Diceros bicornis minor: one gene and its partner. The protein of the gene in region 1 interacts with the protein of each later gene in a biochemical or structural test. Links are inferred from orthologs where the notes say so. Each region holds a gene or a part of one and is shown in the gene's direction. Other genes may lie near its edges. The genes, in order: ARAF and GNA12.

Region 1 (16,065 bases):
CTCACCAGCAGACCTGTACCACAAGGAATGTTAAAGGATGTCCTTCAGGCAGAAGGCAAATGATACCAGATGGAAATCAGGACTTACACAAGGGAATGAAGAGCACTGGAAATTGTAACTACGTGGGTAAATATACAAGCTTTTATATATTAAATCTCTTTAAAATATTATTTAAATCTCTTTAAAAGTTAATTACCCATTTAAACAAAAATAAAATAACGTATGTAGGGTTTATAACATATGCAAAAGTATAATGCATGACAACAATAACATAAATCTAAGGAGGGGAGAAATGGAAGGATACTATTATAAGGTTCTTATGCTATATGTGAAGTGGTATATTGTCACTTGAAGGTAGACTATGATAAGTTATATATGTTTACTATAAAGCCTAAAGCAACCACTAAAATAACAAAGGATTATAGCCCATAAGTCCACAAAGGAGATAACATGGAATCCGCCCATGTAAATGTTGCATAACATTATGTGGTACAAGAAAATCAATTCTGAAGTTACCCAGAATGCCTTAGGACTTGACCACTTGTCTAGTTAGAGTATGTGAATATCCCCATGTCCTGCTATGTAACTGTGTGACCTTGGATGAATTGTTTCCCCTCCCTGTGTCTCAGTTTCCTTATCTTTAATATTTTATTAAAGTACTTCCATCATAGGGTTGTCGTAAGATTCTGTGAACCAATCTATATCAAACTTTACACAGTGTATGATGCACAGTGACTGCACAGTAATTATTAGCTATTCTTCTTATCACAATCATCACCAGTGATATTATTAAAGTATCAAGGCAAAGATCTATGTCCCTTGGCAGAACTTGTATGATCCAAGCTCAAGGACACTGACAGGGTTACAAGAGATTAAACATACCTAAGAACCCAGTATGAAGGCTAATTTCCAAAAGGGTCAGTGTTGACAGATGTTTTAGCAATTCTAGTGGCCTGCAGGTACCCAGCTCAGCCAGTGCTATGGCCTTGAGAAGGTCAGCTCCTTTCCTTCCCTTCCCTTTCTTTTTCTGTTAGAAGGTTGATAAAGTTCCCTTTTATCCTAATTTTCTGGGAATTATCAAAATGAGTGTCAGATTTTGTGAAATGCTTTTCTGCAGCTATTTAGATGATCGTATGATTTTCTTTCTTAGTTATTGTGGTCTTTGTGGTGAATTACACTGATTGATTTTCAAATGTTAAACCAATTCTGCATTCCTGAGATAAACCCCACTTGGTCATAATGTGTTATCATTTTAACATATTATGGAATTTGATTTGCCAAAATTTTGTTTAGAATTTTTGCATCTATGTTACTGAGGGATATTGGTCTGTAGTTTTCCTTTCTGGTAATTTCTTCGTCTGATTTTGGTATGAGAGTAATGCTGGCCTCATAGAATGAATTGGGAGGTATTTCCATCTCTCCAATTTTCTGAAAGGGTTTGTACAGAATTGTTATTATTTCCTCCTTAATGTTTGGTAGATTCACCAGTAAAACCACCTGGGCCTGGAGTTTTCTTTGCAGGAACATTTTAAACTACAATGTCAATTTATTTAGTAGATATAGGGCTAGTCACGTTATCTTCTGCAGTGAGCCTTGGTTGAATTTGCCCATTTCATCCAAGTTGTCAAATTTATTGCCATAAAGTAGTTTATAATATTCCTTTATTATCCTTTTTAATCGTAGAATCTGCAGTCATGCTGTCTCTTTCATTCCTGATTTGGGTAAGTGGAGCCTTTTTTTCCTCAACAGCCTGGCTAGAGGTTTATCAGTTTTATTGACCTTAAAACCCAGCTTTTGGTTTCATTGATTCTCTCTATTGCTTTTCACTTTTCTGTTTCATTGAGTTCTGCTTTGATCTTTATTAATTCCTTCCTTCTGCTGACTTGGAGTTGAATTTGCTCCTGTTTTTTTAGTTGCTCAATGTGGAAGCTGAGGCCATCAATTTGAGATCTTTCTTCTTTCCTAATTATAGGTATTTTCCCAAATACTGCATTAGCAGCATCCCACAGATTCTGATATATTTTCCTTTTCATTTAGTTTAAGATTTTTAAAATTTTCCTTTTGATATCTCCTTTGATCCATGAGTTATTTAGAAGTGTGTTATTTCATTTCCAAATATTTGAGGGTTTCCCAAGGATCTTTCTGCTGTTGGTTTCTCCCTGCTAGATCTGTCCTTTTCTTAGAGAGGGGTGTTGAAGTCTCCAACTATGATAGTGGATTTGTCTGTTATTGGTTTCTAATTCAATTTCATTTGAGTCAGAGAACATACTTTGTATGACTTTAATCCTTATAAATTTTGTGTGTGTGTGTGAGGAGATCAGCCCTGAGCTAACATCTGATGCCAATCCTCCTCTTTTTGCTGAGGAAGACTGGTCCTGGGCTAACATCCGTGCCCATCTTCCTCTACGTTATATGGGACGCGCCACAGCATGGCTTGACAAGCGGTGCGTGGGTGCGCACCTGGGGTCCCAACCAGCGAACGCCGGGCCACCGCAGTGGAGCGCGCGCACTTAACCACTTGCGCCACCGGGCCGACCCCTGTTCAATGCATTTTGTTAGGAAAGGCTTTTTAGGAAAAAAAATTAAAGTTAAAAGTAACGTGTAGGTTCACTTGTAAATTTCCCACACTTCTGGCTCCAGGGTTGCATATTAAAAATCTCTTCGAGAAATATATTCAGAAGTGGAAACTTCCATACTCTGCTTTAGATGGAACAAATACAGTTGCATTGCCACTAATTTAAAAATAACATTAAGTTGCTGGTTTGCAGCAAGTCTCAGGCCCGCACCACCTCCGGTTGGCCGGGACGGCCCAAAGCCCACTTCCCGTGCGCGGTTCTCGGTCTATCCGTGGCTCTTCGGAGTCTGGAAGTCCGCTCTCCTCTCACTCCTAAACGCCGCGGTGAGGCAGAGCCTATCAATGCCCGCGGCATCCCAAAGCCCGCCCTCCACTGCATTGCCGTTGGCTGATCTCGCTGCCTGTTGGGGGCCTGGAGCGCAGAGTGGCTCCCTGCAGAGCGCTGCGGCGGCTTGCAGGACCCATAGTTGAGGGCGCTGAGTCAGGCCTGTAGGGCGTGCAGCTGAGCCTCCGTCTGTCCCTTAGTGAAATGTGTACGCGCGGTTGTCTCTCCTGAAATGCGTAGCGGAGAGGGAGGCAGTGCGATGGGGTCTCAGAAGCGGTGTTCTCCAGGCGGCCGCAGGGGCGGGCGAGGGCGGTGGCCTTGGGAAATGAGAGTGGCAGGTTTTAAAGCAGAGCCTCAGGCACGCAGGACCGCTGGGGTGGATCCAAGATTCCTTAAGGAGGTGCCTTTGGCCTGCACCCTTGTTCGAACACTTTTTATCAAACTTGAATTCCTGAAGCTCTCTCCTCCATCCCTCTGGTTACGGCAGCCTAAACCTCAATTTGCTCAGCTGTAAAATGGGTAGCATTACAACGGCAGTTGGCAAACACTTAAGATTTTTGTATATTTTTTAGATACGTTTCTAAGAATTTAAAATCAACAATAATAAAAACCAACAACCGCTTAAAAATGTTTTAAGATTTCTAGGTGAATAATTTCAAGGGGTATGTCAGAAAACCTTAATCAGCTAGTGCGGGCTTAATTTTTGTTTTAATACATTGGTACTTCTGATGGTTTTAACGTGATGATGATGATAAAAACCCAATTCAACTTCAAAGGCCCTCACAGCTTGTCCGGTACGGTGAGGTACTTGGCTGAAGTCGCACTAGTTGGGATGAGTTTGGAGCGAGTCTATGAGTCCTTGGGAGAGAAAGGATTGCGCTTGAGTGGGCGCCCGCCTCCCACCCTCCCTCGGTCCCTCCTCCCCGCACAGCACGTGGGCAATGAGTTTACGCTGGGATTTTGCTCATCTTTTTGTAAACGTGCAATGGAGCCAGAAATGTTTTCAAATATTGCCTAGAAATTCAAGTTTTTTTTATTGATGTTTTAATAGTTTATAACATTGTGAAATTTTGGGTTGTACATTTTTGTTTGTCCATCACCATATATATGTCTCCCTTCACCCCTTGTGCCCACCCCCTACCCCCATTGCCCCTGGTAACCACAATACAGTTTTCTCTGTCCATGTGTTGGTTTATATTCCACATATGAGTGGTATCATACAGTGTTTGTCTTTCTCTGTCTGGCTTATTTCACTTAACATAATATCCTCCAGGCCCATCCGTGTTGTTGCAAATGGGACGATTTTGTCTTTTTTTATGGCTGAGTAGTATTCCATGGTATATATAGCCACATCTTCTTGATCCAATCATCATTCGAGGGACAGTTGGGTTGCTTCCATGTCTTGGCTGTAGTGAATAATGCTGCAATGAACACAGGGGTGCATAAGCCTCTTTGGATTGTTGATTTCAGGTTCGTTGGATAGATTCCCAGTAGTGGGATGGCTGGATCATAGGGTATTTCTATTTTTAATTCTTTGAGGAATCTCCATACTGTTTTCCATAGAGGCTGCACCAGTTTGCATTCCCACCAGCTGTGTATGAGGTTTCCTGTTCTCTACATCCTCTCCAACATTTGTTGTTTTTTGTCTTGGTGATTATAGCCATTCTAACAGGCATGAGGTGATATCTTAGTGTTGTTTTGATTTGCATAGAAATGAAAGTTTTTAAACAAATTAAATAATATTTAAATGAATTGAAATTTAAAATGCACTCCCCTCGCCCCTGAACTTATTCTTCCTCCTGGCGAGGATTTTGGAGCCCCTCTCTGAGCTCCGATAGGAGTTGTTCCTGACCCCATATGGCACTGAGGTTGCCGCCAGGGCTCCTGCACTGGGAGATGGGGATGTAGGGTCCAGGGATTCAATTTCAGAACAGAGAATTTAAAAAAGTTTTCTCTAACCAATAAGAATTTGTAAGCAATCGGGCAGCCTGGTGGCATAGTGGTTAAGTTCCGTGTGCTCTGCTTCAGCGGCCTGGGCTTCCTGGGTTTAGATGCTGGGCTCGGACCTACACTGCTCATCAAGCCACACTGTGGAGGCATCTCACGTACAAAATAGAGGAAGATGGGCATAGATGTTGGCTTAGGCCCAATCTTCCTCACCAAAAAAAAAGAAGAAGAAAAAAAGAATTTGTAGGCAATCAAAATGTTTAGAATTATGTTTGAAGCCATTTTTTGGCCATGCACTTTAATTGAGGTATATTTACCCATTTTCACTATAGAGTTCAATGATAAATGCATACTGAACAGTCCAATCACCTCCCAAAGTTCCTTCATGTACTTCCCAGTCATTCTACTCAAGACAACAACTAGTCTGATTTCCTTCTCTATAGATCAGTGTTGCTTGGCTTAGAATTTAATACAAATGGAATAATACAGTATTTCTCTTTTGTATCTGCCTTCTTTCACTCAACCTTATGTCTACGAGATTCATAGACGTATGAAGTAGTTTGTTCCCTTTCATTGACCCCATTGTTTCTTTGTCAATTCTTACCTTCTTGGACACCTGAGCTGTTTCCAGTTTTTTGCTATTATGAATAAAGCTAATTCATATTTGAGTACAAGTTTTTGTGCGGACATATTGCAGTAGCATGCTGTGGTGGGCTCACCAGAGTGGATTTTGCAAATCTGTTCTCAACTCTGCTTCAGTGATGTCATATTAGTAGTTTGAAAGCCGTGATGGGAGTATTTACACCATAGTTGGCAAACGCTTTTTTTCCTAGAGAGGTGGTTGTTAAACATTTACCAGCACACCATTGGCCATATATTTTCACTTCTTTGGAGTAAATACCTAGAAATGAGATTGCTGGATTGCATGGTATGTCTATGTTTAACTTATACGAAGCTGCCAAACTGTTTCCAAAGTGGTTGTATCATTTTACACTTCCAATAGCAATGTCTGAAAGTTCCAGTTGCTCCACATTCTCATCAATATGTGGGATTGTCAGTCTTTTTAATTTTAGCCATTGAAAGGTAAAGATCGAATAGGTAAAGATCGAATAGAAAAGGGGTGATGGGAAATGGAGGTTATATGCAGTAAGCAGAACTTTTTTCTCTCTCCTTATAGGCAGAGAACACATTTAATAAATATAAGCTGAAGCATGTTGAGGCCCCCTCGCCTAGTGACCTTTCTCTGATTTTTCTTATTTCATGGCAGAGGGATGCTGAGGCTCCAAACAGGAGAATGTAATCACTTCAAACACAACAGGCCGTTCATACTGTTGGGGAAATAATTAAAAATAAAATCTCATGCCAACCCAGGGAACCCTCTCCACAAAGGTAGAAAAGAGGGCTGGCCCAGTGGTGTAGTGGTTAAGTTCGAGCACTCTGCTTTGGTGGCCTGGGGTTTGCAGGGTTGGATCCCGGGCGCAGACCTACACATTGCTCATCAAGCCATGCTGTGGCGGCATCCCATGTACAAAATAGAAGACTGGCACAGATGTTAGCTTAGCGACAATCTTCCTCAAGCAAAAAGAGTAAGATTGGCAACAGATGTTAGCTCAGGGCCAATCTTCCTCACCAAAAAAAAAAAGGTAGAAAAGAATAAAATAGTTTTATTATGGAATAAGCGTTAAACCAGACTGCACTGCACATCACAAGCAATTCGCTAAAGAGATTGGGAAGACAGAAAGGAACCTCATCCTTTTATATAGACGGACAAATACAACCCATTACGTACATGTTCTCAAGAAAGATGATAACTTGTCGTCAAGTGAGAAAACTTGACAGCACCATAGTTCATATCAAATTCACCTGGAAATTGGGGTAGCCATCTGCCTTTATCTAAAGGAAACATAAAACATATTATCTCTTTGACAAGCAGGTAACAACTTGGAGCCAGCCGCTTAGGTCAAATTCCCACGGAGATAGGTGCTCTATCACCGTTGATGTTTACATTTCAAAGAGATGGCTCCAAGGCCCTTAAGAACAACATGCCTGGCAGCCCCATGGCTTAGCAGTTAAGTGCACGCGCTCCGCTACTGGAGGCCCGGGGTTCGGATCCCGGGCGCCCACTGATGCACTGCTTCTCCGGCCATGCTGAGGCCGCGTCCCACATACAGCAACTAGAAGGATGTGCAACTATGACATACAACTATCTACTGGGGCTTTGGGGGAAAAAAAAGGAGGAGGATTGGCAATAGATGTTAGCTCAGAGCCGGTCTTCCTCAGCAAAAAGAGGAGGATTAGCACGGATGTTAGCTCAGGGCTGATCTTCCTCACACACAAAAAAAAGAACAACATGCCTGGGTAGTAAAACTGGCAGGAGGCCTATTTAGCGTTTAAAAAGATTTACATACATCTCGAAGGGACAGAAAAAATTTACAATTACAAGTTCTCAAAAGGAAATGCTCTAAGAAAAGAAAAGGTGGAAAGTCTCTTTCACTTTTGACACCAGGGAAAATTCAACTTTAAAAAAATTTGTATTTACCCTACAAGAGCTCCACACGTTTCCCTGCACTGTGCCCCATTCCAGATCCACACTTCCCTCCCCTCTTCACCTGGCCATCTACAACTAGTCTTTCAAAATACTTAACTGCATTCCAAAGGAATGCTCTCAGAAGAGCAGGCCGACCCTCCTAGGGCCAGACTCCCAGCGCCGGCCACACTAGAGACCTGTTGTTATCAAAGGCTATGACTACAGCCTTTTAAAACTGAAAAACATTGCAGATATTTCAGCTTATTCCAACCCATTTCAAAGATGGTAAAACTGAGACACAGGGAAATCCCAAATGGGTACTTAGGGCTCTGGGTCACTAGAGCACAAAGGGCGCTTAAGAATTTCCCGCCCAGACTCAGGAACCCCTAAAGTCAGCCTCAAGTGACCGAAAAAAGCCCTGCTTTATTCCGCCATGGCACGATTGGGGTTAAAGCCCATGGCACACAGGTTTCCTCTCGACTGCGCCTGCGCGAGTCAGGACGTGCGAATTTGCCCCAGACCATGACGTTTCAGGCAGCCCCTCCTAATCCGGAACACGACCCACATTCCGCCGGTCCTGCCTTGACAGGCGTGACCCTAATCCAATAAAGATGGAGGGCTGAGTCCTACGGAGCCAATGGCGAAAGCCCGAGGGGCGGTGGAGGCGGACTCTGCGAGGAAACAAGAAGACAGGCCCAAGATGGAGGCGGCGACGGCCGTAGCGGCGTGACAGGTGAGGGCGGGCCCGGCAGGGTTAGGTTTTTGGAGCGACCGCCGGGCACGGGCAGGGAGCCGGGACCGAAAGCTCAGCTCCAGGATGGCTGCGCCTGGGCCCCGGCGCCCCCCGCCCGGAACCGGAGGAGTGGTTTGACCCGGGGCGAGACCATCGTCGACGGCGGGGGGGGGTAGACAGGAATAGGGGTGCAAGGCTGCGGGGGATGGTTTCGCCCGCCGCTTGTGGCAGCGCGCCTGCGCAGAACTAGAAGGCCCTCGGTAGGCGGGGCTGGCCCGAAAGGGGCTTGGGCTGTGGTGTGTTGTGGCTGTATTACCTTTTAACCTCCTTAAGGTATCTGATGACTGCTCCTTACCAACAGCAGGGAGTGCGTGGAGACGCGGCTCACTACTCGCTTTCCTTACTCTGGATCAGTGTCTGACCCACTAGGAGAATGTTTGAGGATTTCTCCATTACTCCTCCTTAATCTTCCCCGGCCTCCTTCCATTATCACCAGTTATATGTCTGTGGCCCCTTCATTAGTTGTCAGGGAGAATTTTGGAGGCCCCCCGCGCCTGCTTTAGTCCCATTCATCTCACCTCAGCAGTGTCTGGTGATGCGCCATTACCTTCCTTTTCCCCATGACGGTGTCTGGTGACCCCCATTATCCACTCTTCTCCCCGGTACAGTCCCTAGTGACCCCTGTTACATCTCCTTTTAGCATAGTGTCTGCTGAGCCTCTGTGAACTCCCCATCACAGTCTGGTGACTCCCATCAGCCACCTACCACCGTGTTTGTGGGCCCACAATCATTACAGCCCAGGGCTTGGGGATGCCCACAGTGCCCTTAAGGACACTCTTTGGTGCAACTGCCATTTCCCCCAAACTAAGGCCAATATCTGATGATCCTCATTCATTCCCCATCACCTGTCTGTGACTCCTCCCTCACCAGTTTCTGGTAACCCCCTTCTCCATTAAAAGCCGGGACAGCCTCTTCATGTCCCTTATGTACCTAACAGGTGGCAGTGCAGTGTGTGCTGACTTCCCTGTTAGCCCCCAGCACAGAGACTTGTGGACTCCTGTGCCCTCCAGGACAGTGTTTGCTGCCTCTCATTGTGTTGTCCCCCACCCCCACTCCGTCCCATGCAGTGAACCGGAGACCTTGGCACTTAAGAGTGAGACAAACAGGAGGGGCTGAGCAGAGGAGGAACTGGATCCACTTCAAGGCGTTAACAGGATCCTTTGGGCTGTTGTGTGGAAATTAGGCTACAGGGGATGACGTGGAGCCCGAGACTGAATTTTTTTGTCCCCTGTCTTTGCTTCCAGACTATCATTATTGGACCTCTGAATTCCTCCTCTGTCTTCTAGGAGCCCCATGGCACCTGCCCAGCCCCACGTCAGCCCGTCTTGACAAAGTCCTAGGCTCCATGGATCCACCACGGGGCCCCCCTGCCAATGGGGCCGAGCCATCCCGGGCAGTGGGCACTGTCAAAGTGTACCTGCCCAACAAGCAACGCACAGTGGTGAGTCTGCTGGCAGCAAAACGGGCGTGGGGCGGGGATGGCCCCAGCTGGAAATCTTAGGTCAGAAGGGTGACTAGGGCTGGGAGGAGGCTTTTGCAGAGGGATGGGAGAGTCGGCTGGGGTCTCTGTTGGCCACTGACCCCCTACATCTGCACACACACGTCCCCCACAGGTGACTGTCCGGGATGGCATGAGCGTCTACGATTCTCTAGACAAGGCCCTCAAGGTGCGGGGTCTCAACCAGGATTGCTGTGTGGTCTACCGGCTCATCAAGGGGTAAGTGTACCCCCCATCCCCCCTGCTGAGTGCCCGTCCTCCCATCCCCTCCTTCTTCACTCTGTCCTGGAGTTGCCACTAGTCTGCCCTGAGTTCAGTGAATCTGTGACGCCTGACTTCATTAGTTCATTGGCCTGTAAGATCCACACCTTGTCTCCTTGGCCTCCAGGTCGTCACTGTGCTCTGTCACCTCCTCCTGGAGTCCATCTGTTTTGTTCTTTCCCTATTTCGTCAGTTTGTCAGCTCTCTCCTTCCTCCGTTTCCCCATCCTCTGTCTGGCGAGTTGGGTCTTCCTGACCTTCCATGCCTTCCTCTGTCCTGGGGCTCCTTCATTTTTTTATTCGGTTCACACATTGCTTCTTGTTTGTTGTTTCAATGCCTCATCAGTCGCTGTTTCAGGGGCTTGCTTGGCTCTTCTTAGTTGTTTATTCACTATCTCATTTGCTTCTTGCCTTGTGGTTTAAAGCCTGGACTCTTCACACTGTCCAGCCACTCACAATCCCTTGTGGCCTGGACAAGTCACTTTATCCTTCTGAGCCTCAGTTTCCCCATCTGGAAGATGGGGGCAAGGATAGCAACTAGTTCCTGGAGTTGTTGTGATGAGAATTAAACAAGCCAGATATTACTCCATGGATGGCAGGCTTGGAGGGACTTTTGGGTGTTCCTTGCCTCCTCATGGCCCCCGTCTACCCTCCCATTCACTCCCTTCCATGCCTCCTGCAGGAGAAAGACAGTCACTGCCTGGGACACAGCCATTGCCCCCCTGGATGGCGAGGAGCTCATTGTGGAGGTCCTCGAAGACGTCCCGCTGACCATGCACAATTTTGTGAGTGCGGGGTGCATGGTGGGGGCAGACCGTGGGCCTGGGGGGAGGGCCCCTGACCAGGCCTCACCCTTCCCCGCTCTGTGGCAGCAGGTACGGAAGACCTTCTTCAGCCTGGCGTTCTGTGACTTCTGCCTTAAGTTTCTGTTCCATGGCTTCCGCTGCCAAACCTGTGGCTACAAGTTCCACCAGCATTGTTCCTCCAAGGTCCCCACAGTCTGTGTCGACATGAGTACCAACCGCCGACAGTGAGCCTGGCCTGGGGTGGGTGGGGGTATGGGGAGGACAAAGGCCCAGCCACAAGGCTCTTACAGACAGCTGACCCGTATCCCCTTGCTCTACACCCTTAATGCCCTCAAGGTTCCACCACAGTGTCCAGGATTTGTCCGGAGGCTCCAGACAGCACGAGGCTCCCTCGAACCGCCCCCTGAATGAGCCGCTAACCCCTCAGGGTCCCAGGTAGGGATGCCTTAGCCAAAGGGCCTCTGTTAGGAGAAAAAGATCTAGAGGCCTCTGTAGACCACAAGCCATAGTTTATTCACTCGTTTACTTGACAAACATTTATTGAGCACCTACAAGTGTGAGTAAGGGCATGGAGCTATGGGACCTTGGGCAAGTCATCTAATCTCTCTGGGCCTTAGTTTTTTCATCTATAAAGAGGGGATAATGATACTTTTTACCACATAGGTTCTAGTGAGGGTTAGAGTTAAGATGTTCAGTGCTTAGAAAAGATCTGGTGCAGAATAATAAGTTCTTCTTAATTATAAATATATATGAGCATCTAACTGCTTTGTTAATTATTCTAGTATCACCATGCTTAAGCCTTTCCACTTTGAAATACATGTTATTTTATCATAATTTCCCTTTTATTTCTCCTTTATGTTAAGCATTATAATACTATAGTATTTCTATGTTAAAATATATTATTATTCTAATACATCATAAGTTTATATAATACACATTTTATATGTCTATATTGTATATTTTATAATATCTATATTTATATGGTAGGTTTCTTATTATATCATGTGTTATATTTTTATATAATGTAGACCATCATATATTTTTATGTAATACAGTAGTCCCCCCTTATCTGTCGAGGATACATTCCAAGACCACCAGTGGATGCCTGAAACCGCGGATAGTACTGAACCCTGTAGATACGATGTTTTTTCCTAATGAATGGGCTAACGGGTGGGTAGGGTATACAGTGTGGATATGCTGGACAAAGGGATGATTCACGTCCCGAGTGGGATGGAGCAGGACAGCGCAAGATTTCAACACGCTGCTCAGAGCAGCACACAGTTTAAAACTTATGAATTGTTTATTTCTGGAATTTTCCATTTAATATTTTCGGACTGCGGTTGACCGTGGAAAACTGAAACCGGGGAAAGTGAAACCACGGATAAGGGGGACTATGGTATAGAAAATAGTAAAGTTAGGGTATTGTGTTATTTTTAATTATGGGTGTATGTGGATTAATTACTTATGAATTTCATTTCAGGATAGTGAAGGGAACATTAAGAAATATTTTTGTAACATTATAATATATGTAACGTGTATCATGTATAACATGTACGTATATGTATAACATATAACATTGTGATATGTATATTTTGAAACATTGCCTTTTTAATATAGATAATATGCTGTATATTATATAATACATAATATATTTGAATAATACATTTAGTTATGAAATATCATATGTTACTCTTTCCCCCACTATCTGTGTGGCTCACTGTCCCTTCTTTAGGTCTTTGCTCACATGTCATCTCAGAGAAGCCTTTCCTGACATCACCGGGGGCACTGTCTGTCTCCTTACATTGCTTTATTTTTTTATTGCACCTATCACTATTGGACATATTAACTATTTGTTTTTTATTTCTCTCTCTCCCTCCTGGAACATCAGCCCCACGAGGGCAAGAACTTTTATTTGTTTCGCTCTCAGTTTTATTTCCACTCCCTAGAATGGTATCTGGCTCACGGCAGGCACTCAATAAATGTTTCTGGAAGAAATGAATAATAGTAATGACAGTGGATGTTTACTCTGTGTGAGCTAAACACACCGTTACGCTGGGGCTGGGGGCGGCTTTATTGGGTCTCCTGTTCATTCGACGGTGATCTCACAGCCTTTCCCCTGCCAGCTCCTGCACCCAGCACCGTGACCCTGAGCACTTCCCCTTCCCTGCCTCGGCCAACGCCCCCCTGCAGCGCATCCGCTCCACGTCCACCCCCAACGTCCATATGGTTAGCACCACAGCCCCCATGGACTCCAGCCTCATCCAGGTTGGTGTCGGGGGGCGGTCACCGGGCAGCAGCGGGCAGAAGGGAGAGCCATTCCTGTTGGCCTCCATGTCCTCTCTCTGACTCCCGTCCGTCTTCTTCCACTGCCCAGAGTTTCAGCACTGATGGTGAGCCCCCCACTGCCTGCGCCCTGAGCCCGCCCGCCACCCTGCTTGCTTCCACTCACACCCTCTCCACAACCACAGCTGCTGGTAGTAGAAGTGGTGGTGATGGAGCCTCCCGGGGGAGCCCCAGCCCGGCCAGTGTGTCCTCGGGGAGGAAGTCCCCACATTCCAAGTCCCCATCAGAGCAGCGGGAGCGGAAGTCCTTGGCTGATGACAAGAAGAAAGTGGTAAGCTCCAGGGGGAACCTTTGGGGGGCACCACAGGCTGAGTGATGAGGGATGTGGGCAGGCCCCTGAGATGCCCCCCATGTGGCCCACAGAAGAATCTGGGGTACCGGGACTCAGGCTATTACTGGGAGGTGCCACCCAGTGAGGTGCAGCTGCTGAAGAGGATCGGGACGGGCTCGTTTGGCACCGTGTTTCGCGGGCGGTGGCATGGTGATGTGGCCGTGAAGGTGCTCAAGGTGGCCCAACCCACAGCTGAGCAGGCCCAGGCCTTCAAGAACGAGATGCAGGTGCTCAGGTGAGATTGCACGCGTGTGGGGGTGAGGGGTGGGGGCGGCGGGCACAGCCTCGGCGCCTCTCTGGGGAAGGGCCATGCTCAGGGCGCTTCCCGCGCATCACCCGTGTTTGTGTGGCGTTAGAACCGTGATTGAAGTTCTCTCTCTCTCAAGGATGCCTTTTTCCCCTCTGGGAAATGGGTAGGTTTAGAGGACCTCTGATGATGTTATTGTTTGTGTTTGGGTTAATATTGATATTAATAAACGGCTCTGCCGCCAACATGAGTCTTCTCGTTTGCCTGCTGTGAAATGGGGATGGCCGCAGGACCTCATTAACGTTACTTCGTGTACTTAACGTGAATAGCATGATGTTAGTTAACTGCGTCGCCAGGAGGGCTTGGTCCTTCCTTCCCCTCTGCTTGTACTACATCAGTGTTATGTTTATTGTGTTGCATTCTTGTTACTAGTTATGGTAACGCCATAATTTACAGAACAGTGTTATTAACTATAATCAGAACCATAATTTAATCATTGTTTAATGAGTGGTGGCTTTACTTAATATATCATTAATACTGTATTCATGCATGCCGAGAAGCCCTGGCTTTCCCTTCTTGCCGCCCTGCTTACTTCCGCTGCCGGGGTTCCCAGCCTGGGCTTTCCTCTTTGACAAATGGGCACAATTACCTTAGAGTTGATGTTATCATAATTCCTTGTGCTGTTTTAATATTTATCCTCATAATGGATGCCACAGTAAGAAAACTTGTAGTCTCCGTTCTTCTCTGTGAAATGGCGATGCCTTGAGCATGCTGTTCATTTGCATTATATTAATATTGTAACCATAATCTGACTGCTCTGAAGAGTGCTCACGCGCTCTGTTATCTGCTGTGACATGAGCAGAATTGTAGAGCGTCGTGGATGTTGTTTGCATTTGTGTTACCATTATGACTGTAGTTAATACTTCTGTAAGGAAGGAAGGTTTTCTTCTAAATGAGGGCAGACAGACTCATATGGCCAGTGTGACAGTTTCTGTGAGGTAAACCCAGGTCCCCAGTAGTGAGAACAAGAAGGGTAGGGAAACTTTCAGTGCTTACGTGTGTTAGGTGCTGTTCAAAGCACCTTACAGATGATTTCCTCACTTATTCCTCCCAACATTCCTATAAAGTAGCTAATATAATAATCACAGTTTTACAGTTGAGGAAAATGAGGCACAGAGAGGTTAAGTGTCCTCCCAAGGTTGCACAGTGAGTACCTAGGAAGCCTGGATTGGAACATAGGATCTAATTTGAGTCCAAACTCCAAACTCTTTACCTCTAAGCCTCTCGTGGTGATTAATAGGATATCATCACATGTTACTGATATTTTTACCTGGCATTTTATCAATATTATGCTGATAGATCAGTGGAGAAGGTTGGCATTCCACTTTCTCATCTGTAAAATCATCACAGGCCCAGGTCATGGTCAGGGTCAGAGGTGTGGCAAGTGTTAATGATTAAGAGGCTACTGGTCAGTAGAGGGGTGGGGGCGGTAATCCCTCCCTCCTGCTTTTGGGAAAAAGCTCAGGACGTAAGCCCCCAGCATGGAATCATAGCTCAGCTAACTGTCTCACAAATTCGTTGAATTTGGCCACAGTCTGGCCCTGAGCCTCCTGAAAGACAGTGGAAATGATGACAGTGCCATTCCTGATGCTCAGAAAGTGAGTGACAGTTGCTATTTTTCCTCCCTGCCCTGATACCGCCCTCCCTGCCTGCAGGAAGACGCGTCATGTCAACATCTTGCTGTTCATGGGCTTCATGACCCGGCCGGGATTTGCCATCATCACGCAGTGGTGCGAGGGCTCCAGCCTCTATCACCACCTACATGTAGCCGACACCCGCTTCGACATGGTCCAGCTCATCGACGTGGCCCGGCAGACTGCCCAGGGCATGGAGTGAGCCTCCCAGTGTGGGGACTGGGAGGGGCCTGGGGAATCTGGGGGTGGGGTGATGAGATAGCCCCAGCCAATTTGCCACTTGCTTCCACCCCCACAGCTACCTTCATGCCAAGAACATCATCCATCGAGATCTCAAGTCTAACAGTATCTACCTGTCCCTGTCTCGGGGCTGGGCTGGGGTGGGGGCGTCAAACAGGGTGAGGGCTTAGAGGGATGGCTCTTGTGGAGGGCTTTCTGGGGACGAACAGCGAGGGGCACGTGTGGCATGGCCCCTTGCCAGGTGGCAGAGCTGTGGCTGGTGAGGGGCCTTTGATGGGGGTCTCTTGGCCAGGAGTCACGGCTGTGGCTGCTTCAGGTGCTGTCCTTGGGGACTCTGGTCAGGGTCTGTGGAGCTGCAGTTGTGGAGGGCAATATGGGGAGTTCCTGATCAGGGTCCCAGGCATGGTGGGTATGGGTGCCCTTAGAGGGGCTTCCTGGTCAGGAGTCACAGGGGGGCCAAGTATAGGGGGAATTAATTG
Region 2 (16,129 bases), on another chromosome or scaffold:
ATGCTTGGTCCCACAAGTAACTCTTCCTTAAAAACTGCTGACCTTGGGTGAGATAATCAGCCAGCAAGACAACTAACTCTCTCTTACAAACCCTGGCTGGCAGCACTCTAGAGAATCCCCTTGTCTACTTCCTAGAGGAGTTACAAAGCTCATCCTAAAGAGAGGGCCCTCTGCCATGCTCTCAAGGCCCCTGGAGACTATGCCTGCCTGCCATCCATCCATCTATCCATCCATCCATCCATTCACCCACTCATTCATCCATCTATCCACTCATTCATCCAACGAGCCAGCCAGCCAGCCACTCATCCATCCATCCATCCATCTACTCATCCATCCATCCATTCCCCCACTCATTCATCCATCTATCCACTCATCCATCCATCTATCCACTCATTCATCCATCCATCCACTCATCCATCCATCCACTCATCCATCCATCTATCCATCCACTCACCCATCCATCTGTCTATCCTTCCTTCCCTCCTTCTTTCCTTCCTTCCTTCCTTCCTTCCTCCCTTCCTTCCTTCCTTCCTTCCACCCATCTACCCAACAAACAATGATTGAGTTCCTACCATGTGCAGGAACAGGGGCTCCAGCCCTACACAGATAGCCATAGACTCTGCCTCATGGACGTAGTTGGGGAGACAGACATTCAACATATAATTACACAAATAAGTTTGAGTGTGATAAATGCTAGGAATGAAAAGTATGAGGCACTGGGAGAGAATATAATAGGAACTGAGCCTAATTTGGGGGATGTGATGGGGAAGTTTGGGGTCAGGAAAGGCCTACTGAGAAAGTGTCCTTTGAGTGTAGCTCTAATGGGTGAATCTGGGAGATAATTGAGGGCGGAGTAGTTTTCTGGGCTGAGGGAATAGCCTGGAGCCGAGGCCCTGAGGCAAGAGCAATCTTTCCTGGGAATGTGAGCCAGGGTTGCCAGACTCTTCCAGGTGGATAGGCTTGTGGGGAGGCAGGAAGAGGAAGCCACAGTGACACTATTCTTAGTCATGTGAAGGGGCTGCTCTGAGGGAGGCACAATGCTGTAAAGGGAGCATAGGGTGCCAAGTGAGGTTGAAAGACCAGGATTCAAATTCTGGTTTTGCCACTTCCTTGGTGTGTGATTTGGGGCAAGAGACTTTACATTGCTGAGTGTCGGCTTTATTGTATGTAGTATGAAGATAATAATAGTAATAATAATTAATATTTATTAAAATCCAACTTTGTGCCAGTCATTCTTCTTACGATTTTATATACGTTGTCTCATTTAACAATCAATGATTTCAACCACGTTGTACCGGTGTAGTACCATTATTATTCCCCCTTTACAGATGAGGAAAAGCGAGGCACAGTGACATGAAGTAGTTTGCTCTAATTCCACAACTAGTAGAAGGTAGAGCCAGGATTCAGATGCAGCAGATGGCCCCACCGCCCATGCTCTTAACTCTTAGACCACAATGCCCCATGGAAGTTGTATCAGTAAGGATAAATTAGGTGACGAGGCAGTAACAAATAACCCTAGCATCTTTTTTCCTATGATGCAGCAGCAAACAAGTTTAACAAGTTGGGCTGAATTTACTTAGAAGATTTATTTTTGATTTCCATAACTTTGGAGTTTTCAGAAGATATATTTATGTTCAAGATATCAAATTTAACTGCAACATAATCAGAGAATGTGGTCTGTACGATATTGATCCTTTAAAATGTGTTCAAACTTGCTTTACGGCCTATTATGTGGTCCATTTTTGAAAGTGTTCCTTGTATTTGGACAGAATATGTATTCTCAAATTATTGGGTTCACTGTTCAATATACATTTATTAGGTCAACTTGTTCATTGTTGCTTCAGTTATCTATTGGTGCATAACAAGCCACTCCAAAACTTAGTGGCTTAAAACGTTTTATTCGGTCCTGATTCTAGAAACTGGGCTGGGCTCAGCTGGGAAATTATGCTATCCTTCCTATGTATTCAGCTGAGTATTGACTGAGGGCTTGGCTCAGCTGAGACCCTGGGCTGGCTGGGATCCTCTCCCTTTCTAAGCCATCTCAAGGTCTTTACCTTTTCTGACGGTCTCTCCAGCAGAGTAGCTGGACTTCTTAAATGGCAACTCAGGCCTCCAACAGCACAAAAACGGAAGCTGTCAGGCTTTCTTAAGGCTTACACCTGGAACTGGCAGAATGTCACCTCTGCCACATTCTCATTGTCAAAACAAGTCCCAGGTCCAATCCAGATTCAAGTGGAGGGGCTGCGTAAGGGCATAAATACCAGGAGAAGTGGTTGACTTGAGATCTACTAATGTAATAGACCACCACAACTGTATTTTTCAACTGCTTGAACTATTTTTTTTTTATAATTTTATTTATTCATTTTTTCCCCCAAAGCCCCAGTAGATAGTTGTATATCATAGCTGCACGTCCTTCTAGTTGCTGTATGTGGGACGCAGCCTCAGCATGGCCGGAGAAGCAGTGCATCGGTGCGCCCCAGGGTCCAAACCCGGGCCACCAGCAGCGGAGCACGCTCACTTAACTGCTAAGCCATGGGGCCAGCCCATGCTTGAACTATTAATTACTAGAAGAGGTGTGTTTAACCCACACCCTCACCCCAGCAATGATGGTGGATTCCTCAGTTTCTCCTTGAGGTTTTGTCAATTTTTTTGCCTTAAATATTCGAGGCTATGTTATTAGCTGCATACAGGTTTAGAATTGTTATATCTTACTAGTGAATTAAACCTTTTACTGTATAAAGTGACTCTCTTTATCCTAGTAAAGATTTTAGACTTAAAATCTATTTTGTTTCCATTAATAAAAATATGCCAGACTTCTTTCAGTTAGTATTTGCCTGTCAGTAAATCTCTCTCCATTCTTTTACTTTGATCTTTCCTGGGTCATTAGGTATGTCCTTTATAAGCATGTAACTGGACCTTGTTTTTATTTTATCCAGTCTGACAGTCTTTGTCTTTTAACTATTTTAGTCTATTTACATTTATTTTGATGAGTCATATATGTGGATTTATTTCCACCTTCTTATTTTGCTCTCTTTGTCCTATTTTTATTCTCGTGTTTCTTTTTTCTTCATCTCTCACATTCTTTTGTGTTGATTGATTTTTGTTTCCTCATTCCATTTTTCTTCTCTGCTAGTGTGGAATTTATAGACCCTATCTCTCTTCTTTTTGTGTTTACCCTAAAAATTTTAACATGAATATTTAACTTGACAAAGTTTAACATTAATCAAAATATTTATTCTCTTCTCAAACAATTCAAAGATCTTAGAACATTTTAATTATGATTGCCCTCTCCCTACATATACGCCTCTAGTGTCCAGTATTTTAGTTCTATTTTTTCTCAACTCTATAAGTTAAAATTATTATTGTTGTTTAATATAGTCAATGAAAAGAATCATCTATATGTTCACAAAATGTCCACCTTTCCTTTTTGAATGGTAGGCCTTCCTTTTGAGATTATTTTTCCTTCTTCCTGAGGCACACTGTGTTAAATTGCTAGGGCTGCCATAACAAAGGACCGCAGGCTGGGGGACTTAGACAACAGAAATTTATTTTCTCATAATTCTGGAGGCTGGAAATCCAAGATCAAGGTGTCAACAGGGCTGATTCCTTCTGAGGCCTCTCTCTTTGGCTTGTAAATGGCCTTTCTTCCCTATGTCTTCACATGGTCTACCTTCTATACACGTCTGTGTCACATTTCCTTTTCTTATAAGGACACCAGTCATATTGGATCAAGACCCATCCCAATGAGCTCATTGTAACTTAATTACCTCTTTAAAGATCCCATCTCCAAATACAGTCACATTCTGAGGTACTAGGGCTTATGACTTCAACATATGAATTTTAGGGAGGATACACAATTCAGCCCATAACACACATTATTAATATAAAATAATTTCCTGTTTTTATATGTTTGAAATGTCCTCATTTTCTCCAAAGATATTTTTACCGAGTTTACAATTCTAGGTTAACGGTTATTTTCTCTCAATGCTTTTAAGATACTATTTCCTATATGGCTTCCACTTTTGTCATTAACATATCAGCTCTCAGTTTGTGTGGTTCCTTTGAGGATGACATGAGTTAGCATATGCAAAGTGCTTAGAATGATGCCTGGCACCAAGTAACTATTATATAAATGGTAGCTTTTATTATGTTCCCTCTGGCTGCTTTTAGGATCTTCTCCTTGTCTTTGATGTCCTTCAGTTTCACTAAGGTGTATCTTGGTTTGGATTTCTTTTTATTCATCACGTTAAACATTTCATGTCATTTGTCGGTTTAAAATTCTCAGCCATTATCACTTCAAATATTGCCTCTTCCTCACTCTTTCTATCCCATTCTGGAACTCTGGTTAGACATATGTTCCATATCCTTCCTCTATTTTTCCTGCCTCCCATCCTTCATATCTTTGTGTTGGATTCAGGGTAATTTTTTCAGATCTACATTCCAAGTTATTTTCTTCATCTGTGTCTTAATCTGTAACTTAGCATATCTATTAAGTTTCCATTTCAATTATTATATTTTTCATTTTTAGATGTACTATTTGGTTCTTTTTTCACTTCTCCCCAGGCATTTTTTATATTCTCTTATTCCTTACTTATACTTTCAATACATTCTTTAATTTCTTTAGAGATATTAAATATATTTATCCTATGATCTGTATTTGATAACTCCAATATCTCAAATCCTTCTGAGTGTGATTCTGCTGTCCTTAGTCTGGGCTGACTTTCAGTCATGATGCCTGATTTTCCCGTGTGTTTAGTGATTTTGTTTCAATGTACACTCCTTGGAACTGAATCTGTTGATAAATGTTTGATATCCATACGATTGATTTTACTGGTTCACTCTTCCGCTGATGTACAGTCTGTTGCGGTCCTGGGTTTATGCAGTTGTCTCCTGTCAGACTCCCCACCTTTGATGATCTTTAGGTTTTCTCTCCGGTCTCTCACCTGCAGCCAGGAAAATAGAAGGCGGAGTTTACAAGGGTTCAGCAGATGTCCTCAGGGCAGCTGGAGGCTTCACCATGAATCAGCTTAACTCTTTGAATTTCTGCTTCCACTGTGATTTTGGCCCCTGGGGCTTTCTTACTCAGCTCAGTGACTCTTGAAAAAAAAAAATGCTTTGAATAGTTTACACAGCATTTTTAATTGTTGCTGCAGGAGGGTTAATCTGAGAATTTGGTCTACTATACTTTCAGAAAAAGAAGTCTCATTATTATTTCTTTTAAATATTTCCTCTCCTCCATCTCTTTCCCCCTCCTTCTGGAACTCTTATCATTCACATGTAAGTCTCCTATCCCTTCTCTCGTGATTTCCATCTCTTTATACTTTTCCTCTGGGTTTTGAGATATTTCTTTCATTTTATCTTCCAGTTTTCTCACGTTGTTCTCAATAGTACTCAGTGGTTACCATTTTCTCTTCTATTAAAAATTTTTTTAAAATCATCATTTGTTGTTGTCGTTCTATGTCTTTTTATGCCATGAACATTCTCCTAAGGTGGGATGATGATGATGGTGATGGTGGTGATGGTGGTGCTGGTGGTGATGATGATGTAAAGTTTTCATCTATTTACCACTAGTTGAGACGTTCTGCTTTATCTTCTCTCTGGCACATGGGTCCCCTTAAGTCTATTTAAATTTTCTCTTTCCTTCTCAGAGCTCTGTGGCTTTCAGGGAAAGCTTGTACGGTTTCTTTTGCAATGATGAAAGATAAGGTCACAGGCAAGATGTTGCTCCTCTAATGAGCACCAAGAGGAAGCTCCCAGGTCTCCACAGCTGTGATGCTGGAAGCTCCTATTCTCGGGGGGGGGGGGGGGGGGGGAATCTCCCAGCCCCCGGGCCCGTGCAGCTCTCCCACATTCTCCCCAGACTAGAGAAGCCCTATAAGGACCTCACAGGAGACTACATCCATGAGACCCAAGGAGACCCTATTCCTTTTGGGAACCCCAGAGTCCTGGGCCTTTTCCCAGGCCTCTGAGCTGCTGGTCCCCTCACTCCCACCCAGCAGGAGAATGAAAGTGTCCTGTGACTGTCCCCTTTTCTAGGATTCCAGAAGAGCTCGCTATTCCACATATACATTCCAGGCCTTGCCATCGGACCCTCCCTCCTGGCTGTCCCTTAGCTCAGGAGGTGGAATTGAACAGGAGTTGAGAGGAGCATTCAGGCCACATACCCCCCCACCCCTCCAGCAATTTTTAAACACATGGTGGCCATCTGTTTACAAATTTTGGTCTTCCTTATTCTTTTTAGGAACTTTATGTTATTGCATTTATATGGCTGTACCTTAATTTATTTAACCTGACCTTTTCCCAGGTTTTTATTTTTAATATCAAACACTGTATTAATATTATAGATTATAGATTGTTAGAAGAATCTATAGGTAGATTCTTATAGATTCTTCATCTTCATGCCATTACTATTATTCTAAAATTCTAAATTTGCAGTACCTGATTCCCAAAGCTCCATGATGATGATAATAATAATGTTAGAAATTATTGACTGCCCATTATGTGCTAGGGCCTTGTATGTGTTAACTTACTTAACACTTATCACAGCCCTATTTTATCCTGGTTTTACAAATAAAGAAACTAAGTCTCAGAGAGGTTAGGTGACTTATTTAAGTCACACAGCTAACAGGAGGTGGCACGAAGCCTCAGAGCTCTCACGCCTTCACCCATCTCACACTGTGCATGGAGCATACACTGGGTCAGGTTTCCAGTCCAGCTTCTGCAACTTACCAACCCTACTTCCCCCGACAAGTGACATTAGCTCCCTGGGAGCCAGATTCTTCTATTACCATAGTCTCTGCCTCGCCTCCTTCCCAGCAGTGTAGAACAGCACAAATGAGATCATGTGTGTGGAAGCACTTTAAAAACTAAAACACGCCATACAAAGGTGAGGGATAATGGAGAGATGATTACTGAGTACACAGATAAGCTTGTTTATTTCAAGCACCTTAGCCCTTTGACAGATGTGAAGGATATGTCCAGAGACCTTGTCAGATCCCCAAATTGGATACCGTATAAAGATTGCATAAACATAGGCATAAATCTATTTACAAAGATACAAAGTTATTTGTAAATGTCTGAAGCATTTGCTCAAAGTGTTTTGTGAATCACCTTCTCTTAATTTCTTTTAACTGAATGAGGGGCTCACTCTGGTCCACTGCTAAATTCCACATTCCTCTCTTTATTTGTCAAAAATTCCTATTTTCTGTCTAAGAAACGTTGTTTTCTGAGGCCTCTCCACTTGTTCTTCACTTCTATTATAATACTAGTGTTTGGCTTTCTGTGGAAGGCCGTTTTCACAAAGAAACAAGACTTTCTTTTTCATCGTTTTTGAAGGATTACAGAGTACTAATGAGTTGACTCCTTAAGTGATAAAAATTTATGCCTCAGTAAACGACAAATGCCACATATCAAGGGCATTCAAGGTCCTCTGAGAGTTTAGATCTCTCAGTGAACTCCTTGAATACCACGGTTCTATGGCAGAAAACTAGGGATTCTTTTGGTCTGCACCCTACCTGGTGACTTGAATGGTCTGGCTCCCTAACTAATGTGTACGTTTCTTGACGCAACGGCTGCGTCTTTTCCATCTTCAGCTTCCTCTCCAGAAGTCCCCAGTGCTTGGCATTTTCATGATTATGCAAAAATTACTTGTAGAACCGAATGATATCACACTGACTAATCATTTTTTTCTATTGTGCATACCCTCTGTAGAGGCAGGGTCACGTAGTGAAAGAGAGCAGGGTTCTAGTCGGCTCTTGTGTGGGACCTCAGGTCAGTCAGTCATTTGTACGCTGGTCTTGATTTTATCCACCTGGTGAGAAGGAGGATTTGGACAGGATGATCTTTAAGCCCTGTTTAATTAATTAAATAAGGAGGGTATTAGACTGAGGAGGCTCTAATGCCGTGGCAGCCTATGTAAGCAAACCAAAATCTAATCCTGTAAATGCCTCAAGGTTACAAAATCAAAACGCTAAAGACAACCAACTACAAACAGCCAGCTAGCCTTTAAGCTGTACCCATCAATGATTTCCTTCTTTGTTTCCATGCTTTCTCTATATAAGTCTTTTCTCTGGCTCCCCTCCGTCGAGTGCTCTAACCACTTCTGGTTTTGTGCCATCAGGTTTGAATAGATTTTTGCTCTTAAATAAACTTAAAATTTTTAATACGCTTGGGTTTCTCTTTTAACAGACCCTAGTTCCTAAATCTGGCCAATTACCTGGGGATGAAGAGATACCGGAGCTCCTTTCAGGAGGTTCTGACTCACACTCGATCTGGGACAGGTAAGAATCTGATAAGTCAGCTGACACTTAGCAAGAACTGACTGGGGCCTAGGCACTGTGCTGTGTTTTACAAGTTCATGTTCTCAGTTTCTATCTTCACAACAATATGAGGTGGTTGCTATTATCACCCCCATTTTACAGAGGAGGAAATTGAAGCTAAAAACAGGAGGGAAAAATAAAAGAAAGAAAGAAAGAAAAGCTACTTAAAAGTTTATGCAACTGGGCCGGCTACACTTAACTTAGCGGTTAAGTGTGCGTGCTCCGCTACTGGCGGCCTGGGTTCAGATCCCTGGCGCGCACCGCGGCACCGCTTCTCCGGCCATGCTGAGGCCACGTCCCACATACAGCAACTAGAAGAATGTGCAACTGTGACGTACAATTATCTACTGGGGCTTTGGGGAAAAAAAAAATGAGGAGGATTGGCAATAGATGTTAGCTCAGAGCCGGTCTTCCCCAGCAAAAAGAGGAGGATTAGCATGGATGTTAGCTCAGGGCTGATCTTCCTCACAAAATAAATAAATAAATAAAACTGTTTAAAAAAAAAGTTTATGCAACTGGTAAGGGGTCGATTGGCTATTCCAACTCAGACCCAGCAACTCCAGACCCCACTCCCAATCACTGTGCTACATAAGATTTTTCCGAGGGGCTTCTGGTGATTTTGATGATTAAAATCTTTAGATCTCAGAAAAGCTTTGAGAAAAGCTACCGAAGGGCCCACGCCAGTCTCAAAGGGTGCATTTATTTGAAACGTGTGGCCCATTCCCCCCAGCGTTTCTGGAAGGAAAATGGTTTGGGAACAGCTTTCTCTCTAAGCTTAAGACGCGCAGCGGGACCTCTTATCAGCATTTCCCAGTTTTCAGAGAACGTGAAGTCCACTCTGCGAACCTCCTGCTCTCACAGCTTGACCCATCTGGGAGCCCAGGGCGCCTCTTTCTGTACACCTGGCACTTCTGGTCCCGCCCCGATTCGCGAAACTCCCAATCCCAAGCCTGTGCACTGTGATTGACGTGCTCTCGGAGCAATTATAGTTGGTTATGGCGGACGGCCGCCCGGCCTCTCCGACGACCCCGCCTCCCTTTCATTCTGCAAGAAAGAACCTCGGCACGGGCGTCCAATGAGAAGCGTCTCCACCCCAAAGATCCCGCCTCTTTCGGCGCCGACCCCGCCCCGAGGGCCGGAAGGATGCCCGCCCCTCGGCGTGGCACGGCCCAATCGGAGGGCCCGTTCGTCCGGATGGACGGCAGCCGGCCCAATTGCCGGGCCTCGGGTGGTGCCGCCCCGCCCCTCCGCCGGGGCTGAGCGGCGGGCGAGAGTGGGCCTCGGGGCGGCGGCGGCGGACGCGGCCTGAGGGAGCGGCCGGAGCCGCGCGGGGCTCGCCTCGCCCGCGGCGGGGTCCATGGCCTGAGCGGCCATGTCCGGCGTGGTGCGGACCCTCAGCCGCTGCCTGCTGCCGGCCGAGGCCGGCGGGGCCCGCGAGCGCCGGGCGGGCGGCGGCGGGGCCCGCGACGCGGAGCGCGAGGCGCGGCGGCGCAGCCGGGACATCGACGCGGGGCTGGCCCGCGAGCGGCGCGCCGTGCGGCGCCTGGTCAAGATCCTGCTGCTGGGTGCGGGCGAGAGCGGCAAGTCCACCTTCCTCAAGCAGATGCGCATCATCCACGGCCGCGAGTTCGACCAGAAGGCGCTGCTCGAGTTCCGCGACACCATCTTCGACAACATCCTCAAGGTGCGCGCGCCCCGCCGCCCCACCCGCACACCTGCGCCCAGGTGCGCGCAGGGGCGGCCCCGCGGACCACCGCGCCCCGGCCGGGACCGCGGCCCCCCCTTCGTCTGCCCCCTGACCTGGCTGCAGCTCCCAGTGGCCAGGTGCTCCCAGCCTTGGGGGGCTGGCCAGGGATGCGCACCCCTTCTCCCCGTCGGCCTGATGGCCTTCGCCTGTGCTCTTCTCGGGAACTCGGGGGCGGTGGAGGCGGAAAAGCTGGGCGACAACTGGGGATTTGCCGGGGGCGGGGGTGGGGCGGGTCTTGGTAGTGAGGAGGGCCCCTCCTGGACTCTGGGTCGAGGACGCGGCCTGGCAGGATGGCATCTGCGCGTTTCCCACTGCCAGTCTTCTGGGGTCAGGGAGCCATCCTTGTCCTGCCTTTCCAGTGAGTGCAGAAGAGCAGTGTAAACTGCAGAGGAAACCGGCCGCAAGTCTCTCCTTTTACACTGTTGTTGAAAATTTCGAACAGATACAAAGTAGAATAAAACGAACTATGTGTACCCATGGCCCTTGTCCCGCCAACTTCGGCAATGATTAGTTCAGGGCCAGTCTTGTTTCCCCTGTATCCCTGCCCCCGTGATTTTGAAGCAAATCCCAGGCATTGTATAACTTCATTAGAAAATACTTTAGTATATGTATCGCCAAAAGATAAGGCCTCATTTAAAAAACATAGCCACAGTACCCTTATCAGTATCCAGCCTTAAGAATTAACAATAACTCCTTAATATCCTCAAATATCCTGCCAGTGTTTAGATTTCCTCTTTTGTTGCATAAATGTTTTGTTTGTTTCCATCAAGATATAAATTAAATCCTTACATTGCAATTTTTAATGTCTCTCTTAAATGGTGTGTTATCTCCAGGTTCTCCTATCTCTTGTTCCCTTATTCTTTGCAATTTATTTGTGGAAAAAACCATAGAGCTGACAAAGTCTGGGTTCTAGTCTCTCTCTACAGAGAGCCTGTGCTAAAGGGCCCCAAAGAAAGGAAATCTGGAGAAAAGTGATGGTGAGGGGAAAGTAGAGTCTATCGGGCACCTAAATAGGGTCATTTCCTTTCTTTCTTTCTTTTTTTTTTTTTTTTTTTGAGTTTACCTCTACACTTTTCTTGTCCCCTCACTTACTCTTTCCCAGGCCCATTTTGGGGCAGCCAAATTACAGGTATGAGGAAAGTTGTCTTTAAGCAGAGGTAGAAGGAAGCTTGTCATACCAGAAAGCTGCCTGGAGACTAGATTTTATGGTGCCTGAGGGACTTTCAATTTAGCAAAGGGCTGCAGAAACCCATCTGGTACATTTCTTTCCCTTCAGCCATGAGGAAGCTCCGGGCCCTGGAGATGAAGTGGCTCCTCGCTGGGGCCTGGATGCTGGAACCCTGGCCTCTAGACTTGCAGGCCTGCCTTCTTCCAGGATTGCATCAGGAATCTTGCACTAGTACCCCCAGTTCGTTATGTGTTTGTTACTAGAATGTTTCATTTTAAGAGAAATAGCTCTTTTAGGATCCTGACGGGAAGAGAATAATTTGAATGATAAAACACCCTTTTCACCTCTTTCAAAAGCCTCTCTGTGAGTCAGAGCTCTGGCCCAGTACTTCATAAACTTTAAAGGCTGGGTGCCCAGTGTGTTCCGGGGGATGGACTGTGTGTTTAAAATTCCCCTCATCTTCTGGGGTAAAGTGCATTCGATTGTCTCTCTCTGTCACAGAGCCAGATTTTATTTTTGCTGCTTTTTGGACCTCCAAACCAGGCAGGTAGAGTATAAAGATTTGGCTGACTATCTCCCAGTTTTTTTCAACTCGGGAGGCAGAGAAAATGTTTAGAAACATAGAATCTTAAATCTAAATCAGTGTATTAAGTGCGTTTTGGAAAACTCAGTCTTAACCTTTTCCCAATGCATATAAACATTAACTTTTACTGACTTCCTTATCAACAGAAACAGGGTTTGTTAACTGGTATCCTACTTTCCTTCCCAACTTTTTTACTAATTGTAATTCCATATTAAACTCACTTTATCTGTTGGGACTATTTCAGTAACTAATTAGAATTTCAGTTTTCAGTCTAAAACCAAAATCCCCCCCCCCCCAATTTTTATTTGGACAGATCACTTTGGGAAGAAACTTTTTAATAAGGTGCTTTGTAGTGGCTTTAGTAGTGGGCATTTGGATGATACTGTTTAGAATAATAATTGTGTCTACAAATAGATTTAGTGTTAACAGGCTATTTTTAAATACGCACATTGCCAGGGCCTTTCATATATGGCATTTAATTTTCATAAGGCATCGGATGGTATTATCCCATTTAGCCAATGAGGAAATTGGAGATAGAGAGTTTTTTTATTTATTTTTTGTGTGGAGGACTAGCCCCGAGCTAACATCCGATGCCAATCCTCCCCTTTTTTCTTGAGAAAGAGTGGCCCTGAGCTAACATCCATGCCCATCTTCCTCCACTTTATATGGGACGCCATCACAGCATGGCCTACCAAGCGGTGCGTCGGTGCGCGCCTAGGATCCGAACCTGCAAACCCCGGGCCACCGAAGCAGAGCGCGCGCACTTAACCGCTTGCGCCACCGGGCCGGCTGGAGATAAGAGAGTTTAAAATCTGCTCAAGGTCAGTTACCTAATTAGCAGGTCTCAGAGCTGGGAACCAAACATGGTCTTTTTTCTTTTAATTAAACTTTTAATTTCTGGGTAATTGTAGCGTCCCATGCAGTTGTAAGAAATAATACAGAGATCTTGTGTCCCCTCTACCCAGTTTTCCTCCATGGTAAGATCTTGCAAAACCGTAGTATAGTATCACAACCAAATATTGACATTGAGAAAATCAAGATACAGAACATTCCCATCACCATAAGCATCCCTCATGTTGTCTTTTATAGTCACTTCCTCCCTTCTCCCCCTCGCTGACCTGTCAATGACTGATCTATCCTCCAATTCTATAATTTTGTCGTTTCAAGAATATTATGTAAGTGGAATCATGCAAAATGTGACCTCTTGGAATTGGCTTGTATCGCTCAGCATAATTCCCTGGAGATTCACCCCAGCTGTTGCATGTGTCAGTAATCAATAGTTCATGGCTTTTGATTGCTGAGTAGTATCCATGGTATGGATCTACCACAGTGCACCATTTAACCATTCACCTGTTGAGGAATGCCTGGGTTGTTTCCAGTTTCTGCCTATTATGAGTTAAATCTTCTATGAACATTGACATACATGTTTTTGTGTGTACATACATTTTCATGTATCTGGGATAAATGCCCAAGAGTGCAGTTGCTCAGTTGTATGATAGTTGCATGTTTAGTTTTATAGGAAACTGCCAAACTGTCTCCAAAGTGGTTGTACCATTTTACATTCCCACCAGCAGGGTATGAGTGATCCAGTTTCTCTGCATCCTCACCAGCGTTTGGTTGTGTCAGCTATTTTTTATTTCAACCATTCTGATAGGTGTGTAAGTGCTGTCTCATTGCTGTTTTAATTTGCATTTCCCTAGTAGCTAATGATGTTGAACATCTTTTCATGAGCCCACTTGCCATCTGTACATCCTCTTCATTGAAGTGTCTCTTCGTGTTTTTACCCGTTTTCTAATTAGGTTGCTTATTTCTTTTTTTTGTTTGTTTTTTGTGAGGAAAATCAGCCCTGAGCTAACATCCAATGCCAATCCTCCTCTTTTTGCTGAGGAAGATTGGCCCTGAGCTAACATCTGTGCCCATCTTCCTCTACTTTTATATGGGACGCCGCCACAGCATGGCTTCACAGGCGGTGCGTTGGTGCGTACCCGGGATCCAAACCTGTGAACCCCGGGCCGCCACGTGCACTTAACCACTACGCCACTGGGCTGGCCTCAGGTTGCTTATTTCTTTATTGAGTTTTGCAAGTTCTTTATATATTCTAGATACTAGTCCTTTGTCAAATAGATGGTTTGCAAACATTTTCTCCCGGTTTATAGCTTGCTTACCTTTTCATCCTCTTAACAAGGTCTTTCACAGAGCAGTAGTTTTTAATTTTGATGAGGTCCAGTTTATCACTTTTTGCCTTTATGTGTCATGCTTTTTGTATCAAGTCTAAGAACTCTTTACCCAACCCTAGATCCCAAAGGCTTCTCTTATTTATTTTTCTAAAAGTTTTACAGTTGTATATTTTACATTTAAGACCCTCATCCATTTTGAGTTAATTTTTGTATAAGGTGTGAGGTTTAGGTTAAGGTTCTTTTCTTCTTTTTTTTCTATGGATGTTCAGGTTTTCCAGGACTGTCTGTTGAAAAGACTATCCTTCCGTTGAATTGCTTTTGCACCTTTGTCAAAAATCAAATGGGGATATGGGTCTATTTCTGGGTTTTCTATTCTATTCTACTGATCTGTGTCTCTCCTTCTGCTGGTATCACGCTGTGGTCATTACTGTAGCTATATATCAGAGTGATTTGATATCAGAGTGATTTGTCCCATTTCATTTTTCTTTTTCAAGATTGTTTTAGCTATTCTATGGCCTTGGCTTTTCCATATAAATTTTAGAATAAGTCTATGTCTATAAAAAACCTTGCTGGGATTTTGATAGCAATTGTATTAAACCTATAGATCAATTTGGGGAGAACTGACATCTCTACTTTGTTGAGTCTTCCAATCCATGACTATGGTATGTCCTTGTTTATTTAGGTCATCTTTGATTTCTTTCATCAGCATTTTGCAATTATTAGCATACAGATCCTATACCTGATTCATTAAGTTTATACTTAAGTATCTCATTTTCTTTAGAGTAATTGTAAATGATACTATGCTTTTATTTTCAGTTTCCACATGCATGTTGTTAGTACACAACAATGTGATTGATTTTTGTATCTTGATCCTATGTCCTGTGACCCTGCTGAAAACATGGTCTAAGAGTTTTCCTGTAGATTCCTTGGGATTTTCTACATGGATCATCATGTTATCTGCACATAGGGGCAGTTTTATTTCTTCTTTCCCAATAGATATGCCTTTTATTTCTTTTTCTTGCCTTATTGCAGTGGCTAGAGCTTCCAATATTATGTTGAGTAAGAGTGGTGAGAGTAGTTATATCTTCTGTTTCTTTTCTGATATTGGTGATTTGTGTCTTCTCTTTTTGCTTTTGTCAGTCTTCCTAGAGATTTATCACTTTTATTGATTATTTTTTTTCCCTGAAGAATCAGCTTTTTTTTTTTTTTTTTTAGTGAGGAAGACCAGCCTGAGCTAACATCTGATGCCAATCCTCCTCCTTTTTGCTGAGGAAGATTGGCTCTGGGCTAACATGTGTGACCATCTTCTCCCACTTTATATGGGACGCCGCCACAGCATGGCTCGACAAGCGGCAGGTCGGTGTGCGCCCGGGATCTAAACCTGCGAACCCCGGGCCGCCACAGCAGAGCACACACACTTAACCGCTGCGCCACCGGGCTGGCCCCAGAACCAACTTTTTATGTCATTCATTTTTCTTTATGGTTTTCCTGTTTTTAATTTTATTTATTTCTGCTCTTATTATTTCTTTTCTTCTAGTTGCTTTGGGTTTATTTTGCCTTTTTTCTCTAGTTTCTTGAGGTAGAGACTTAGATTATGTATTTGAGACCTTTCCTCTTTCTAATGTAAGCATTTTAAGTGCTGTAAATTTCCCCCTCAGCACTGCTTTAGCTGTGTCCACATATTTTGATTTCTTTTGAGATATGTTCTTTGATCTATGGATTATTTAGAAGTGTGTTGTAGTTTTCAAGAGTTTAGAGATTTTCCTGTTATCTCTCTGTTATTGATTTCTATGACTCCATTATGGTCAGGGAACATACTTTGTATGATTTTAACTCTCTTAAATTTGTTGAGGTTTGTTTTATGGCCCAGAATATGGTCTATCTTGGTATATGTTCTGTGCGCCTGTGTTGGTGAATGTTCCATGGCCACTTGAAAAAAAAATGTATATTCTGTTGTTTGGAGTTTTCTACATATGTCATTTAGATCCTGTTGGTTGATCGTGGTGTTGAGTTCTGTATCTTTGCTGATTTTCTGTTTAGTAGTTGCCTCAGTTGCTGAGGGTGAGGTATTGAAGTCTCCAACTGTAACTATGGGTTTATCTATTTCTCCTTTAGCTCTATCAGTTTTTGCTCTGT

What was found.
Region 2: the proteins of ARAF (region 1) and GNA12 form a complex in vitro, tested with the Homo sapiens proteins (2 studies listed by BioGRID). The link is inferred for Diceros bicornis minor from reciprocal best matches to the Homo sapiens genes ARAF and GNA12.

Annotation. Positions count from the first base shown.
Region 1 is NC_080781.1:41,316,469-41,332,533, forward strand, and holds the start of ARAF (serine/threonine-protein kinase A-Raf), read left to right. Parts: upstream 1-7,943; 5' UTR 7,944-8,107; intron 8,108-8,676; exon of another isoform or gene 8,677-9,234; 5' UTR 9,235-9,311; intron 9,312-9,345; exon of another isoform or gene 9,346-9,453; 5' UTR 9,454-9,512; coding exon 9,513-9,608; intron 9,609-9,780; coding exon 9,781-9,884; intron 9,885-10,607; coding exon 10,608-10,710; intron 10,711-10,800; coding exon 10,801-10,955; intron 10,956-11,067; coding exon 11,068-11,166; intron 11,167-12,839; coding exon of another isoform or gene 12,840-12,854; coding exon 12,855-12,996; intron 12,997-13,105; coding exon 13,106-13,345; intron 13,346-13,437; coding exon 13,438-13,640; intron 13,641-15,367; coding exon 15,368-15,544; intron 15,545-15,644; coding exon 15,645-15,705; intron 15,706-16,065. UniProt on the Homo sapiens protein: Involved in the transduction of mitogenic signals from the cell membrane to the nucleus. May also regulate the TOR signaling cascade. Phosphorylates PFKFB2.
Region 2 is NC_080765.1:11,704,816-11,720,944, forward strand, and holds the start of GNA12 (guanine nucleotide-binding protein subunit alpha-12), read left to right. Parts: upstream 1-9,643; 5' UTR 9,644-9,690; coding exon 9,691-10,002; intron 10,003-16,129. UniProt on the Homo sapiens protein: Guanine nucleotide-binding proteins (G proteins) are involved as modulators or transducers in various transmembrane signaling systems. Activates effector molecule RhoA by binding and activating RhoGEFs (ARHGEF12/LARG).